Linked DNA regions of Schizosaccharomyces pombe. Changing the gene in region 2 together with the main gene of any one other region gives a genetic interaction. Each region holds a gene or a part of one and is shown on either strand. Other genes may lie near its edges. The genes, in order: plt1, SPOM_SPBC577.03C, mix23 and pcs60.

Region 1 (5,186 bases), 2.6 Mb from region 2:
GCACAGATAAAATTTATGACCTAAAGCGTATTTAGAAAAGCTTACATGAGGTGAGATTTCTTTTTGTTGACTATTAAATCTTTTCTGCTGAACTGGCACCTTTTTTACAGTCCATTTCGCAAAATTGATGGGCAATTTGCGTAACATTTTGAGACTATAGGTGATGGTTAATTATAACGTTCCCGCTGCACCATACACACTACAATCTATTTGAATGATGCATAATTTGGTTCATTTCTAATCAAGATCCAAGTTTCTACGAAAATTAGCAACTATTTTTCATATTCCTTAGGTTTTTGTGATTAGTTATTTGTTATTTTTTTTTGCCAGTCAATTTGAAACAAAGGAGAGATAAAATTTGTTTTGTATCGTATTATAAAGTGAACATATAAATACATTAAGATCCGTAGGAACACTAAGCTACCATAATTTTATCTTCGAATGCAATGATTTAAAATCTATTTAAGTAGAATTGACAAATATGAATGTGTTATGCAGCAGAACATGCTTCGACTCAAAAATTATAAAAAGAAAGATACAGTACCGTTTACAAATTAGGAGGTTAAAATCCAAGTGCTCGCATGATTGGTGTTCCAATTAATAGGAGAATCACGAAGGAAATTAGTGTGGCAGGAATACCAGCTTTTAAAAAGTCACTAACTTTCAAATATCTTTTGCCAGCTTCATTTTCCATCATGATAGCTGTCATATTAGGAAAACCACTGGTTGGCAAAGCCATAGCAAGACTACACATCATTCCCGAAGCCAAAACGAAAAGACGTGGATGAGGATCGGCAAGGCGACTTCCAACTTCATGGACAATGGGAAGTACCACCATTGCAGCTACTATATGAGAAATAAATGAAGAAACAACAAGAGTCAAAGCAGAAAAAATAAGCAGTACCCTAAATGTATTAAGGGAAGAAACAGCATTACCTATTTTAAGGGCAATAAGTTCTAAAAGGCCGGAAGAAGACACTACTTTTCCTAACGCAACACCTCCCATTGCCAAAACTATGACTGTCCACAAAAAATTATTAAAATCCTCCTTGGTTAACAAACCTGTTCCGAAGAATACAATGATTGGGACTAATGCAATAACACCCATATCACCAAACACCTCATCGAAGCGGCGTTCAAGGCACCAAAGGACTATAGTACCAATCGTAACAATGGAAATAAACCATTGGACACCAGTAAATGTATCCTTGGTGGAGCGAATTTTAGCTAAAGTGATGTGCTCATCTTTCAGTAATCCAAAAGACAACAGAAACCATATAGAAAATATACACAGTAACGATACAGGAATACTGACGGCAAACCATTCACCCCATCCCGCAGCGGGATCCATATTCTGTAGCGCAACAATATTTTGTGGGGATGAAATAGGCGAAGCAATACCTCCAACATTAGATGCCAAAGCAATACCCACAATTAGTATCTTTGCAAAATCGGACTCTGCTGGTAAATTTCTCAGAAGGGGCTGAATAATAGAAAAACACAACACTGGCGCAGCAACGTTGCTAATCCACATACTAGCAAACATGGCAACGAACATGTTTGTAAGAAGCACGCTTCTAGGCTTACGCCCTGCATGCGCTAAAATGGAAGTCGCCAACCTTTTAGCAATATGATATTTGCTTAGAGCAGCTGCAATGGTAAAACCTCCTAAAAGCAAAACTATAGTTGGATTCCACATCGAACTAAATATAACCTTTGTTGATTCCTTTCCAGAAAGAGGTGAACCGTTCTCATCTCTCAAAATTTTCAAAAACACAGTCATAAAAGGAACCAAAAACGAAGTAACGAACAAAGGAATAGCCTCCGTAGCCCATAATAAAGAAACCATTACTAACAAAGCCAAACAATTGTTCTGTTCCCTATTATCTATGACAGGAAAACTTAATAAGAGAATAAATATAACGATAATAGTAATTAAAGTTGCAATCGTGCTATTAAAGAAGCATCTTGGGATTCTAAAAACACCAAATTTAGTTTTGATTGTAAAATAGGGGGGCTGTTCTGATTCTTTCTCATCAGCTGCGACAGGCTTCAGTCCTGATAATCTCGCGGCCTGAGTACGACGCTCCATAGCCATCATTTCACGCCAAATAGTGTTCCTTTCCCATGCAACGTATTCACGAAGATGACCACGAAGGCGACGGATAGCCACAAATGTATCGCCTTGACAGCATAGCTTAGCATACCACTCTGCAACAATATTTAAACGCTTTGACAATGTTTTCCCAGTAGCAGGAAGGAAAGGGTAAGCTTGGTTGACGCGCTTCATGTACGATTCACGAAGGCTACTACCCAAAGTTTTATCATATTTTTTTAAGATTTTTGAAAAACCAGTATAATTAAGATGGACGTACGAAATCAAGTCATGAATTGAAACATACAACTGTGTCAGTTTTCGCTTTAAAGAAACGAAGTTTTCGTACGCAACAATATCAGATGGATATTGTTCAATAAGCAACCATCGATTGTTATTGTTGTTATCTTCGTCTTCATCTTCGTCCTCATCTTCATCATCATCATCATCATCTTCCTCCTCCACCTCATCATCATTGCCTTGTACCTCAGGTTGAGCTTCTGAATGTTGTTTTTTTGATAAACCGTTTTTAGAAGTATCGACATCATGAGGTTCAGACGGTTGAATAGCAGTAGATTCTGCTCTAGATATAGCAGGGGCCGCATAACCTCCATCACTAGTTTGCCCATTGAGATATATCTCACGGTTTGAAGAAGTAATGCGAGGCAATTCTTGGCTGCGGGCCATACGACCAGATTTCCTACTCGCTGAGCTCTTTTGTAATCGTTCAGGGGTAGGGTAATTAATGTTGTTTCCCTGACTCATATACTCATTCTCATAGGTTTCAAATTCGCCCTTAATTCTACCATACTGATCAGCAATTTCTTTTTCTTTAGGAGCATAAAATTCAACAATTCCTTGTAATTCCTTGTCTAAAGCAAACATAAAGCGATCATCGGGTGATCTTCTTTCGTGCTCTAACAGCCTAGTTTCTTCATCTGGAGCGCCTTGTTGTAATGTTATCTGTTCATGTTCCAATGAATAAATACTTAAAAATATATGTTAGCAAAATTCAAGTACAATTTTATTCTCCGGCTGTTAATCAGACATTATCCCAAATTTCGCAAGTATGAATTTGTCGGAATATAGGATATATCATAATAGCCAGTCGTAAGCTCGAGAATTTTCAAACATACAGCTTCTTAAGGTTCGAGTAACTAAGCACCGATTGTTAGCAAAAATCGGAAGTAATCCAACAGGTTGTTTACTTACGCAATGTAGCTTTCGGACCATTCCGGTACTGCATTAAATTGAAGACTAAAAAGTAATTAGAACAAGTCTTGTGAAAACTGATGCAACAAACCTATGACTGAATTTCATCTTGGATGACAGAGGTCATTTAACTTCAATTGTGACTAAAAACAGCTTTAGCTTATTCACGCAAATTAATTTGGAACAATCTAAAGGAGCGTTAGCCGTTCAAATTTCGTGGCCTATGATCGGAGGTGAAGCTGTATTCGTGGATCCAACCTCCGATAGAAATAGCGTAATATAACAACGTGTGTTAAATAATATAGCAAAGTGCAATGCTTTTTTACTTAGTAAATTATTTGGGATCCTATTGTATTTTAATTTAACAAACAAGCAATTTGCAGGGAAAAAGGATTTTTGGCATTCTATCAATTTAAATACATACATAGCATTGGTTACTTCTTGGGATTTCAAAGGGTTTTAGTAATAGACTTTATAATTTTAAAACACAATGGCGGAAGTGAAAAAATCAATTCCAAAACGTCGTTTTGTTGGCAAAAAAAATAGGAAGGAAAATAATTTGGATGGTTCTAATAGAGATGTTGAAAATGCTGCTCTCGTCACTATTAACTCCAAGAGGAGCGCTGGACGAGTAGCTACTCAAATCCCAGAGGATATATTAAACGATAAAGCAATTAATGAAGCTATAAAATTGGTAAGCTGCTTTTATTAGAGAAAGATGCCGTAAATTAGTTTCTTCTTTTCTCAAAAACATCAAAGCTTGGTCAGCTAACCTTTAATAGTTACCGCAAAATTACAATTTTGAAATTCACAAAACCATTTGGCATATTCGCTTACGAAAAGCAAAACGTGTTGCCTTGCAACTTCCCGAGGGGCTATTGATGTTTGGTTGTATATTGTCTGATATTTTTGAACAATTTTGCCAGGTCGAGACAATTGTGATGGGCGACGTTACATACGGTGCGTGTTGTATTGACGATTTTACAGCTAGGGCACTCGATTGCGATTTTTTAGTACACTATGGTCATTCTTGTCTTATACCTGTTGATCAAACGCCCATAAAGGTGCTATATGTTTTCGTGGATATAAAGATAGATTTGCAACATGTCGTATCATCTTTAAAACATAATCTACCCTCCAATTCTAGGTTAGCTTTGGTTGGAACTATCCAATTTGTTGGATCTCTCAACTCTATAAAAGACGCTTTGCAAATACAGGATGAAGACGGAAAGGGAGGTTTTTACGTTGTTATTCCACAAGCAAAGCCATTATCTCCTGGAGAGGCGTTGGGATGTACATCTCCCTATATTGAAAAAGGATCTGTAGATGCATTAATTTACATTGGTGACGGAAGATTCCATTTGGAATCTGTCATGATTGCTAATCCTGATTTGCCCGCATACCGCTATGATCCTTACTCACATAAGCTCTCTATTGAATCTTATGCTCATGAAGAAATGAAATCTATTCGGTATTCCGCCGTTGAGAAAGCTCGTACCGCTAAAAAGTTCGGTCTAATTCAAGGTACACTGGGTCGACAGGGGTCTCCTAAGGTACTCGAAAATTTAAAGAATACTTTAAGGAAAAATAATAAAGATTTCGTTTGCGTTTTAATGTCAGAAATTTTTCCTAGTAGATTGGGTCAATTCTCTGATATTGACGCGTGGATTCAGGTCGCTTGTCCAAGGCTTTCCATAGATTGGGGCTATGCATTTCCCGCTCCATTGTTGACACCATATGAAGCATCTGCTGCTTTTAATGTTGTTCCTTGGAAGGAAGTTTATCCTATGGACTTTTACGCTACCAATTCATTAGGTAATTGGACTCCAAATAATCCCGAAAATCGACCTCTGCCAAATCGCAAAAAAACCGGACCCGT
Region 2 (4,431 bases):
TTTTTTTTTTTTTTGTAAAATGATTTAATGATTTTAGTGAACGAAAGCAATAATTATTTTGACACTTGAAAGGCAATGTTTAAGCTTCGTTGGAATTTCTCATGAGTTTATTTAAAAGTCGTTTCCGTCGTGGAACAAAAAATTCGTATAGAAGCACGCTCATATAAATCAAACTTCCTCTATATGTAGTAGTTAGTATGCTTTATCTTTATAATTCACAAGAATGCTGCTATGTTGTTAATACTTTGTAGACAGACAGATAGAGCCTTGATCCACATTTGGATAGGATGAAAGCATTTTATTGTAAAAATCTATTTTTTCGCAATTGATGTAATATAGTTTTCAAAAACGAAGAGCATAAAGTCGTTTGATCCTAATAGAAAGATGTAAAAGATATAGCAAATGGATATGTAAATCTATTGAAAACATTTCTTTGTTGTTACACTTCATCTATCAATTTCCAAAAACATTATGCATGGAAAAATTAAAGTATTAACTATAGATTAAGATATAAATATTGACCATCTCTTATTCTATTTTTTTTTAATTTTATTATCACGTACACTTAGTATATACCTGAGCTAAGCAATTTAAAAAACGAACTTCAATCTAACGCCCATTCAAGCAGTATAGTGAAGGATAGTGTTAATCCCCTTGAGCGAATACCGGCTGATTAAGAGCTCGTAATTTCTTTTTAACGAGTTACAAACCATTCGAGTTGTAAAACACAGTCACAGAAATTTTGATAAACTGGAAAGAATGAATTCTTGGTCTTTCACCAAGCTCAACAAAATGGTAAGTGAGATAAGTAGAGGTTTCAGCAGCTTATGGAAGAGAAAACTGTTTTCATCTTTCGTTCGTTAAAGTTGTCTCTGTAAAATATATTCAGTGTTAGGAATGACCATCGACTAATGCATGTTTTAGCCTCGTCAAATCAGTGACATTAAGCAATTCTTGGAGATCGCTCGCAGAAAGGATGCTACTTCTGCCCGCATCAAGAAGAACACTAACAAGGACGTTAAGTTCAAGCTTCGTTGTTCCAAGTACTTGTATACCTTGGTTGTCGCTGACGCCAAGAAGGCTGAGAAGCTCCGTCAATCTCTTCCTCCCGGTATGTTATATAAACTACTAAGAAAGATTAACTCAGTTACTTTTTATTGAGGGAACTACATTTCCTTAAAGCATTTTGCGAAGGAATTCTTCCTAAAGCGTTGATAATTCGTGAAACAAATGATCAGCTCTGAGTTAATCGTTCATATAAGTGAACTCAAGCTAACAAGTTTTCTATAGATTTGACCGTTACTGAGGTTGGAAAGAAGGCATAAAGTTTCTGGTTGAGTGATTAATGAAAAAGAAACCTCTCATGGTTTTTGCATTCAGTTAAAAACAAAAATTTTCTTTTTCAAAAGTAAAATGATCAATAAAGATTGTATTCATATTATTTTGTAATGTAATGTAAAAATCGAAGAGTAGAAATCGGTGAAATTATCCAAGTTGTTCACGAATTTTATAAGCAGACCCAATTCGCGATTATAAAATAAAGGTCTGTATGTAAATAATTGTTGTTGCGAGATGAGAGGTATAATTAGCCATAGGGTTGTGTAGAAAACAATTTTTAATAAACCCTTTTAAAGTAGTTCGCTGCATGTAACACTTGCATAAAGTAAACAAGTAAATAACTTTAAGCGTTGTTGCATCGCTTATGAAGTCCTCATTAGTTCAAGCTCTACATGATCAAAATAAGCGTTGTACTTAACTTGAGAGAAGCCCAATTTCTTGAATAGCCGAATACTAGGCTTGTTTTGGGAGCCAACTTTGACTCGATACTTAAGGATTTGCTTATTTTTGGCAATTCCACTGGATTCAACATAGTGCAAAAATGCATCTACAATCTTGGTTCCATATCCTTTCCTTCTATTCTGAGGCTCTGCAATCATCAATTCAAGTTCACCTACTATATGTACCTCTGACTCCTTCGTAGCATTGGTAGCATTAGCATCACTGGGAGAATCATCAAATTCTTCTATACCGTCTGCGTATTCCTCAGTCAAAAACATGTTCACATCCCCAATCATTGATTCAACGCTGTGGGCTTTTACATGATCCAAAATTGAAGGTTTCTTAGCTTCATCGTTTTCGTTTAGTAAAACGATAAACGTCAGCTCTATATCGTTAGAAAATGATTAGAACTTGTGATGCAATTGATCAATCACGAATGTTGAACCATCATAACATACTATCTTCATCAGTACTCCATGAGGCCTGCATTTGATATTCTTCGTCAAGAGTTAAAGGCTCTGAACAAGTAAGCTCTTGCAATTCCTCATTTTTCATCCAGTTATGGTATTTTAACACATGGCATTTTTGATATGGCACGAGAATCAAGTTGCCGCAATCAACAGTAGTATTTTGATTAATTTTCATTGAAAGCACACTTTTTTTTACCGACTCTTCAATAGCCAAATACTCACTTATTCCAAATGTTTACAGTATCAATCAAAATGATACCGAACCGTGAAGTTGAATATATGCAACGGATAAAAAAAACGTGATTTGATGTTTAGTAAAATAGTTTTACGAGAACTCTGATTGAAAAGACATTCAACGAAAATCTCTCAAATATATACAATAAATTCAAGGCTCAACTTATAAGAAGTTAGTTTTAGTCAGTTAACCTTTATGGTAGTAAAGGCGTAGCTATACTGAGTTGACGAGTTAAGCCCAAACGTCTACTCTTTTAAACAATTTGGAAACCTCCTCCTACAAAATTTCCAAGAAAGAGTAGTATTTCGTCGTAAAAATGACAGAAAATGCAATATCAGATTGTTTGAACGTTCTTGACTCAACTCGAACATTGTGTTTGCGAATTCATGAGTTGAAACAGCATAGCAGAGATGCCGACGATCAAAATCCCGAGCAAATTAAACGACAGTTAATGTCAAAGCTCTTAATCTTGCGAGAAGCAAATAGAAAATCTTACGAACAGCTCGTACAAGCAAAGACTATAACAGCCGAACACAAGTCTGAACTCGATAACGCCCGTATACGGCTTCAGGCGTTACAGTACAAAAAGCTGCATTTAAAAACGATAATAAAAAATTACGAAGAAAAGGAGTACGTGAAAGTTCCTTACCTTTTTTTTTTTTTTTTTCAGATTTCAAAAGTCTTTGTTCATTTCTTTCTAACCATTTTAATAGACATATATACACAGCGTTACCACTCGTCTCAAAAGAAGAATTTTTGAAGGAACACCCGGAATTTAAGAGTTCGAATGATCATGATCTAATGCTTGCGATTCTTGAAGACGAACTGAAAGAACGTCAACGACTTTCCACCTTAAAGCAGGAACTTTTAAAGAGGAAAGCTGCATTAATATCTGAAAATAAAGCAAAGAGGAATGCATTGCAGAAAGGAGATGAAAAGCTGCAGACTTTCCTTCGCTCCAGCGTGCCTGTCCAGGAGTACTATAACATTACCTCCATGTAAATTATTCCCATGAAAACTTATGTGTTTATTCATTTCATTTACTACCCATTTTTTAGCGTTTAATAAAAAGAACGGATTTAGATTTTTAGAAACGATTAGCCTCACTTTACTTTTTCAATTCTCAAGTTTGAAGTTTCAATTAAATTGTATGCTCATAACATATTTTTAATTCGTTTTATGATTTTATGGCACTAGTTTATATAATGTGTTTAAAATGACTTTATACTTCTGTATTTGTTGGTTGGTTCATTGGGGTTTTAACAACAATTCGCAGTTTCTCGGCATACTGTAACAACTGATTGCGTATTTCGATTTCGAGTTGTTGTTTTCTAGCTTCTATAGAAAGCTTTTCTTCGTTCAATTGTTTAATTTGATTCGCTTTTTGTATCTCAAATTCCTTTCTATAATTTGATGTTAATGACTGCCAGGATTACCGTTTTATTTTCGTACATTTTCTGTTGAACCTGGGAAACATCCTTTATAAAAGCCTTTTTCTCATTTTCTATATTGGTCTTGTATTCGCTTTCAATTTGGTCATACTTTTTGACGCGTCTTTCAATGTTTTTGAGGTTTAACTCTTCCAAAACATGCTCAATTATTTCAGAGCTGATTTAATTAGTATACGTTTATAATTATTTTTCCCTTTACTTTCATACCTAGATTGATCCGAGCCTAATGTTTCTGATCTTTTCTTCATATTCGTATTTGTTAGAAGGAAAGTTACCATAATTTATTTATATCCTAGTAAAAAATGGCAGGCAGCAAATGACTCAAAAATACATACCTAGTTATTTGAAGTTGTTTTTTTTTTAAATTAACATTCATAAAGCCTTTACAAGAGTGAGTTGCCATATGCTAAAATATACAACAGATACTTGACAATGCGATACCTGTAAACGCGTTTCATTATTCAATAGTTAATGTGATAAATTATCGTACTACAAT
Region 3 (3,031 bases), on a different chromosome or scaffold from region 2:
GGTGTTGGCTTAACGAAGAGAAGCTAATTTTACGCGAAATAAAAAAATCAAGCTTTTTTCAGTTCATACTAACGTTAATTAGGTAAATCCCCACAAAATTGACTGCCTTCGCCATTGGAAGAGAGAATACTCTATGGAAACTGTTCTTCTAGATTTAAAAAAGTATGTCTATTAAACTTCGTATGAATGATCATCCTAACTTATGTTTTAGAGAAATGGCATCCTCTTCCAACCGAAAACTTCCTCAGCCCCCTGAGGGTAGTACATTTTTTTAAAGCAAAAAAGGAACTCTCATAGTACAGAATCTTTCAGCTATTGTTCCTATTATTCGATCGCTGATGGTGGCCTTCTTAGCTTACATTATCCATAGTTTCGACACTATGTGTATTCCTATTTTCCTTTTTTGCTTTCTTTACATCAACGATCCTTAAAACATGCAAATTACATTACAAAATGATAACTTACAATACCTAAAGATATTAATTCTATACCTGTATTTGACATTTTGGTGTTGTGTATTTATGTGTCGGAATTTTTATTGTAAACATTTCTTTTAGAATCATAAAAAAATTTGAGGCTACAAAAAGTAATTAGTCTTTATAAGTGTCTCTCCAATCCTTAAACATTCCAGGACAAGCATTTGTCAGAACTTCCCACGTTTGATCTCGTATGATTTGTTCGACAGATAGTTCACTTTGTAAGACAATTTGTACCTCTTCCGGAGGGGATAATTGCACTTGCACCTCTTTAGCGTAAGGATCCAAACGTTCGGAAACCTGAGTCGTTGATGATGAAGGCAATTGCTGCTGTGATTTTAAGGGTGATTTGGAAGTATTTCGATCTTGATCAAGTTGTGATCGTACAATAGTTTGACATTCTTTTAAGAATTGATCCCGACTTAACCAACCTTCGAACAACTTTTTCTTTACGTTTTGACAACGCTCTTCTTGGGTTTCATGTACCTTCCCTTCTGGGTATTCCCATTTTGCTGAATTAAGAGATAATTGGATGGTATCGTCTATCTTTCTAGCTTTCCTCAAAACATCTAAAAGTATGATTAGTATTGGATGAATTGGTTGTGTAAAAAAAACAGTGTTCGCATACTTTTCAAATACCTTATATTCATGCAAAGACCCCGTTTTTCTTCATTCATTGTGTTTAATATCAATTTTGTTTTCCTAATTAATAGTTTATTAGAGGGGATTTTGGTTTTTGAAAGAAAGACTCAGTCGCCTGGTAAATTCGTTCTTTGTATGTGTGTGCTAATTACCAAATGGGGCCTATTTGATTGAAATGTAGCTTTCGGCTACCATTTGGGATATCAACTAGAATTTTCAACTTTCGATATTTAACATTTAAAAAAACAGCTGATAAAGTAAATGATTGCGAATTGGCAGGGAGGATTTTATGTAGACTAATACTTTTACCATTGTGAATATGATATGCTTAACAATCCAGGTGAAGTTGCCTTTTATCGAGCAATTTATTTTTTAAAAATGTGCATATGCTTGAACTCAGCATATCATTTTACCGAGGGTCTGATCATGACATTGACAATTTCATTCGTATACAATTTAATTCTCGGCAAAAGCAGTTTTTGTGTGACAAAAAATTTCCCCTACTTCATTCATATTTGTATGTTCTCTTGAAATCAAAAGACAACCTGTGTAATCGTTTCATTATTGGTTTTCGGTCAAAGGGGCCAAGGCTATATGCATGGTCATTTCATCAGTGTTTTCAGCTTTTGCAGATATACCATCTGTGTACCTGATTTCTGTGAATTGTGGAGCAAGAGAATTATGGCTCACTATTACATCGATACATTTCGTTTCCTTGAGAGAGCAGCGATATGAATTTTTGGCGAACAGTTTGGGAGAAAGAACATCGTCGCTCAAATCACAAGAAGAAATGGTTTCAGTATCTAGAAATGGAAAACAACTTCTCTCTGAAGCTTCCTTCTTCCGTTTGGGAAAACACGTGCATCTTAATTTTTTGCCCTTCGAGAACACTTTTGAAATGGCATTGAGGAATGATTTCCAAATTTTCTGCACTTCCATATTGTTTACTTGTTATATTCAATCTTTTTCTTTATTGATTTCAAACTTTTTTATAGCGATTGAGGTTTCAAGATCTTTTTTCTGACAAATAAAAATATCTGATCAACGTTTTCTTGGATAGTGATTTTTTTTCTTTTTCAAGAAACAGGATGAAAAGATTCTCTTATCTGTTAAGCATTTGGTGGCTTTAATATTCTGTAAGTTTAGGTGATGAGGAGAACTGTGTGTTTGTTTACCTTGGATTAATATGTAAACAAAAAGCAAATATGTTTTAATGAGCCAATTGTATGATCATCCTTTTGCAAATCAGAAACTTTTCTTTTTCTTTAAAATTGAGACATTTATTGATAAATGTGAAGGGAAACTACAATTTAAACTGTTTATCCATAAGAACCTTCTTTGAGCCGCTCTTCTACAATCAGTTGATAAAATCAGGGCTGCTTTTTAATGAAAATATTTTTTTTGCTTTCTTTTTATCAAAATCTCTTCAGAGTATCACATACTTTCATAATTGGATTTACTTAAAAAGAGGAATTGATAGCTTCTGTTTATAAATAATAAAAAAAAAACTATAAGTATTAAATAGTTATAAATTTATGTATAGAATTTCTTTTAAAAAAAACAGTTTTTTACGAATTTCTATTAAAAAGGGCTTAGTTTTACAGATGGGAAATCTAACTCGCATGAGAAATAACCATTCATTATAGTATGACTGATTTGATGTCGAAAACGAGGAATTAAAATAAAGCAGAAAAAGCAAAAAGAATAAAAGGAAGCCTACAGCACCCCGGATTCCCATGTTGTCTCCAACCATAGTACTAACGAGGCCCTCAGACGCTTAACTGCAGTGATCGGACGGGAACTGGTGTTTTCGCCTAGGTATGGCCGTAGACATTTGTTGTGTTAAATAATAGTATTTATTCTGTTATTCAAGTAGGTTAACTAGTGAGTAGTTCATAGAAAAATAACTTGAG
Region 4 (4,537 bases), on a different chromosome or scaffold from region 2:
GAATTTTAAATTGAATGTAAATATAAAATCGAAAATAACATTTGTATAATGTTGGTGATTGTAATAATATTTATTTAAATTAATAGTGCAAAAATTATGCTACTGCTTTAGCTAATTCAAAACTATATTAGATGCAGTCGCAATTTGTATATATTCCTTTTCGTATTAAAAAATAAATACCAAAAATTAATTCGTCACTTGAAATTTGACTGAGCATGATTGTTTAATATTATTTTTGTAAAAAAAAAAAAAAAAAAAAAAAAAAAAATTTTATTATCTTGAGAATAATATGCCTTCAAGCAAACCACCAAATTTAAGACATCAAATTGAGGAAAGAATTTTACGTATGTATATATAATAAATTTTTTAAGAAAAAGGAATTTTAATCTTTGCAGTGAATACTAATAATTATTTAGATGATATAATCCACATATTTTGCAGGTATTGTTTCGCATATGCTCACGCTACTAATTTATGAATCAATGGGAGATAGCGGGAAATATGAAGTGCGAATTAGTTTAAAAAAAGAGAAGATTTAATTCAGTGTTCAAGGCGTTGATGAATGCAACAAACCAGTATAATTTCCTAAAATCAGTAGCAATATCGGACGTATCAGAGATAGACCATGTGAATTTGAGGCGACAAACCACCCGTTTAATTTCAACGTAAAAATCCCTATAACTTCAAACATCGTTTGCAATGTTCTGTTTAATCATTGTAAACTTTACTGTGGATTACTTTATCAAGTGACATTGACATTGTAATCTCGCATAAATTTTTTAACATTTACCTAGCCGACGAATTTAAGGAACATGTCCTTTTCCATAAAAAAAGTTTAAAAGAACCCGAAATAGGAATATTTTGATTCAGCATCAACGGTTTTTACTCAGGGAAGTTCAATATTTAGGATTCCCTTATTATACTTACTTTACTTGAGGGATTCGTTGTCAAATAATAATTCTTTCTCGACCGTTTCTATTTGGGAAATATTAACAAAAGCACTAACACATTTCAAACATATAGCTCTCGATTTAAAAAAAAAACTACTTCAATTAATTTATATTTATATTCATCCAGTAAAAAACTTGATACTTGGTACAATGCTGAAATGATTCCATTACAACTAAACTGGATGAATCCCTTTTAGATTGAGAACGGAGAGACCTGTCTGTATATTCCAGCGTCCTTTAATTAAGTAGATAATTAAGTGCAAGCAATTTTTTCAATCTGCTGTAAAGCACTATTTACATTAATTTTAAAAATTGACAAATGGAAAGTATCGAAGCATTTGCAAGCATGCAAATGCGATCGATTTAAACTAATATAAGTCAAGTTTATGAAGAATAATTTATACATAATAGCGAAATTAATGATTAAAAGAGATAATGAATAACTTTCTCAATTGAAACGCTTAGTTTTGTGAAATTCAGAAAAACAGAAATTTAATTCTACCAACTTAGTTTTTTTTCTTGGAGGTGCTTTAGTATTATACCTTTGAGTCATTTCCGTTGAATTCATTTAATTTGCAAAAGATAGGAAGAATCACTAATGTAGACAAATCAATTCCATTAGTAATGAATTCGATTCGATGCAACCACCATAAATGCCATTCTTCATTCATCAATATTTTTTAACTAATTTCTATAAAAGTCCAGAATAAGGAATCCATATTTTTCTTGTTATACTCTTACCGTAAATTTCGTTACTACCACCTCCCTTTGAATACCGGATAAATCATTGCGTTCGCGCCTAGATCTGTTGCGCAATTTAGGGGATCTAATTTGCAATCGGGTCTAGTACTGTATTCTTGATTTCTTCAACTTAACAAAAACTTACCTTCATTAAAAGAAGAATATTTTAGTTGGTTCATTGTACGTTATTTTAATGAAGCAATAAAAGATTTAATCACTTAATTCAACACTCACTTTACATTTGACTAACATATACAAGTAAAAACCAATTACAAAGGATTTAGGGAAGTTTTCAAGATTTCTCGTCTAAAAGATTTTTTTTCAATACTTGAGTAGTTTTTTCTTGAAGAAACTCTTTATTATTCGTGCGTTGAAAAACTTTTTAGGTATTTAGCTTTACTAGTGTCTTACCTATCTATCCGATTTTTTAACTCATTTTCCGTGTAAACTCATTCCTTTTGCTGCTTCCTTAATCCGCATTTGAGGAGGTTAAACATTGTAATTCTTACTTTTGAATTACTACTTATTTAATTTATCATATATAAACTTTTTTTGGTGTTAGAATTTTGAAAATGTCTTTTACTACTTTATATTCAGCTATTCAAGGTGATGCTAGTGCGAGAGCCTTGGTAGCCCCTTCTTTAAATGCAGAACTATCATTCAGTGAGCTTCGAATTGCTATTATGGATCTTCAGCGCCAAATTGCCAGCCTTGGCATAAAAGTTGGAGACCCTGTAAACATTGCTATTCCCAATGGCTTGGAATTCGTCGTAGCTTTTTACGCTGTTTCTTGGCAAAGAGCTATTTGTGGGCCCCTGAACTCCAACTACAAGCAATCCGAGTTTGAGTTTTACATTGATGATCTGAAAAGTAAACTCGTCATTGTTCCCGAAGGCTCCGTTGCCGCAAATACCCCTGCTGTTCGTGCTGCTAAGAAATTGTCTGTCGCAGTGGCCGAACTTGCTTGGTGTCCCAAGTCTCGATTAGTTCGCATTGTTCACTTTGAAGGAGCCAAAATTAATGCTCCTCAACCACTTGGTCTTCCTCAACCCGACGACGTTATGCTTGTCCTACATACTAGTGGTACCACTGGACGCCCTAAAGTCGTTCCTTTGACTCACAAAAACTTGTGCCGTAGCATCCATAACATTACTACCTCTTATAGATTGGATCCAAGAGATACTTCTTACGTTGTCATGCCTTTGTTTCACGTTCACGGTCTTCTTTGTGGCCTCCTTTCTACTTTAGCTTCTGGTGGATGTGCCGTTGTACCTCCCAAATTCTCTGCTCACAGCTTCTGGAAGGAGTTTATTCAGTATGGTGCTACTTGGTATACTGCGGTCCCCACTATTCATCAAATCCTTCTCCGTACTCCTCCTCCCAAACCTCTTCCTCGAATTCGTTTCATTCGTTCTTGCTCTTCTCCCTTGGCACCACCAGTCTTAAGCAAACTAGAGGCTACCTTCCGTGCTCCTGTCCTTGAGGCATATGCTATGACCGAAGCTTCTCATCAAATGACTACCAATCCCTTACCTCCTTTGGTACACAAACCTCATTCAGTTGGTAAGCCTTTTGGAGTTGAACTCAAAATTTTGGACCAGAAAGGTAACGAAATGCCCCAAGGAAAAGAGGGAGAAATTTGTGTTCGCGGAATCAACGTTACCAAGGGTTATTTGAACAATCCTGCTGCGAATAAGTCATCCTTTACCAAAGATCGTTTTTTCCGTACTGGTGACGAGGGCAAACTTGATAAAGACGGTTACGTTTTTATTACTGGTCGCATCAAGGAGCTTGTTAATCGTGGTGGTGAAAAGATTTCTCCAGCTGAGATTGACGCTGTTTTAATGCAACATCCTGATGTTTCCGAAGCTGTTTGTTTTGCTGTTCCTGACGAAAAATACGGACAAGACATCCAAGCAGCTATTAACCCTGTTGCTGGAAAAACAGTAACCCCCAAGCAGTTACATGACTATTTAGAACAGAAGGTTGCTGCTTTTAAAATCCCTAAAAAGTTTTACTTTACTGATCGTATCCCTAAAACTGCTACTGGAAAAGTGCAACGTCGTTTGGTCTGCGACGCCTTTTTCAATCACTCCAAGGCCAAACTCTAAGAGTATCTGGTACTCAATATTTTGCTTCTTTACCCCAAAACTCGCTAATTTGTCTATTTTAGTTACGAGTTTATAAAGCACACGATGAAATTTTGTTATTAACTGTATCGAATTCAATACTTAGAATAAACTATTTTAGATCACATTAGAAAAGTATTTCCATCTTATCTTATATACTGCTGTAGATTTAAATGAAAAAATAATAATGAGTTTTAAGTCTTTGTAGCGTTCAACAATTTTTTTATGGTCAGCATAAAAATCGTATGTATTGTAATTTAGCTAAAATGTGTATGTGTCCACTGCACCACAAACCGGAACTTCGCAAAACCGTAACACAACCTAAGGAAATTGACAATTATGGGAGAAGAAGGTATTAAGATAAATGATACTCACAAAAGAAGAATAGATGAAGTGGAACCATCTGAAAAAGAAGATAATGTAGAAAGACAGACGAAGAAGTATAATTTCGAGATTGATGAACCTGAAGAACAAGAAAAGAAAGATGAGAAGGAAGATGATAAAGAGGAAAGCCCTTCTAAATCTTTGGAAGAGATATCTCAATCAGTTTCACCTGTAGAGGAGGAGCCTCGTGATGTTCGGTTTAAAGAGCTGTCCACTCCTTTTAGTTACCCTATCAATGATCCTCCTGAGGGTCGTCCTGTTCGAGTTTACGCCGATGGAGTTTTTGACTTGTTTCATATTGGGCATATGAGACAACTAGAACAGGCCAAAAAA

Evidence for each region.
Region 1: mutations in SPOM_SPBC577.03C (region 2) and plt1 together harm fitness more than expected from each alone (negative genetic interaction), as found in Schizosaccharomyces pombe (one large-scale study listed by BioGRID).
Region 3: mutations in SPOM_SPBC577.03C (region 2) and mix23 together harm fitness more than expected from each alone (negative genetic interaction), as found in Schizosaccharomyces pombe (one large-scale study listed by BioGRID).
Region 4: mutations in SPOM_SPBC577.03C (region 2) and pcs60 together harm fitness less than expected from each alone (positive genetic interaction), as found in Schizosaccharomyces pombe (one large-scale study listed by BioGRID).

Annotation. Positions count from the first base shown.
Region 1 is NC_003423.3:3,385,929-3,391,114, reverse strand, and holds plt1 (phosphate transporter), read right to left. Parts: upstream 3,498-5,186; 5' UTR 3,416-3,497; coding exon 3,399-3,415; exon of another isoform or gene 3,353-3,398; coding exon 3,308-3,352; exon of another isoform or gene 3,253-3,307; coding exon 3,232-3,252; exon of another isoform or gene 3,084-3,231; coding exon 563-3,083; downstream 1-562. Other genes in the region: mitochondrial F1-FO ATP synthase peripheral stalk assembly factor Ina17, read right to left, coding at 46-147; diphthamide biosynthesis protein Dph1, read left to right, coding at 3,798-4,001, 4,090-5,186.
Region 2 is NC_003423.3:753,860-758,290, forward strand, and holds SPOM_SPBC577.03C (GCN5-related N-acetyltransferase), read right to left. Parts: upstream 2,710-4,431; 5' UTR 2,425-2,709; coding exon 2,238-2,424; exon of another isoform or gene 2,165-2,237; coding exon 1,701-2,164; 3' UTR 1,326-1,700; coding exon of another isoform or gene 1,291-1,325; 3' UTR 1,112-1,290; coding exon of another isoform or gene 925-1,111; 3' UTR 796-924; coding exon of another isoform or gene 793-795; 3' UTR 552-792; downstream 1-551. Other genes in the region: rpl3801 (60S ribosomal protein eL38), read left to right, coding at 793-795, 925-1,111, 1,291-1,325; tho5 (THOC5-like protein), read left to right, coding at 2,801-3,114, 3,198-3,486; meiotic recombination protein Rec27, read right to left, coding at 3,707-3,887, 3,937-4,092, 4,143-4,183.
Region 3 is NC_003421.2:1,367,203-1,370,233, forward strand, and holds mix23 (protein mix23), read right to left. Parts: upstream 1,253-3,031; 5' UTR 1,154-1,252; coding exon 1,105-1,153; intron 1,067-1,104; exon of another isoform or gene 1,046-1,066; coding exon 591-1,045; 3' UTR 522-590; downstream 1-521. Other genes in the region: ubiquitin-conjugating enzyme Mms2, read left to right, coding at 83-162, 212-275; protein Mug112, read right to left, coding at 1,680-2,057; SPOM_SPCC338.03C (uncharacterized protein), read left to right, coding at 1,717-2,142.
Region 4 is NC_003421.2:2,377,750-2,382,286, reverse strand, and holds pcs60 (acetyl-CoA ligase), read left to right. Parts: upstream 1-1,823; 5' UTR 1,824-1,871; intron 1,872-1,950; 5' UTR 1,951-2,263; coding exon 2,264-3,802; 3' UTR 3,803-4,035; downstream 4,036-4,537. Other genes in the region: pcy1 (cholinephosphate cytidylyltransferase), read left to right, coding at 4,160-4,537.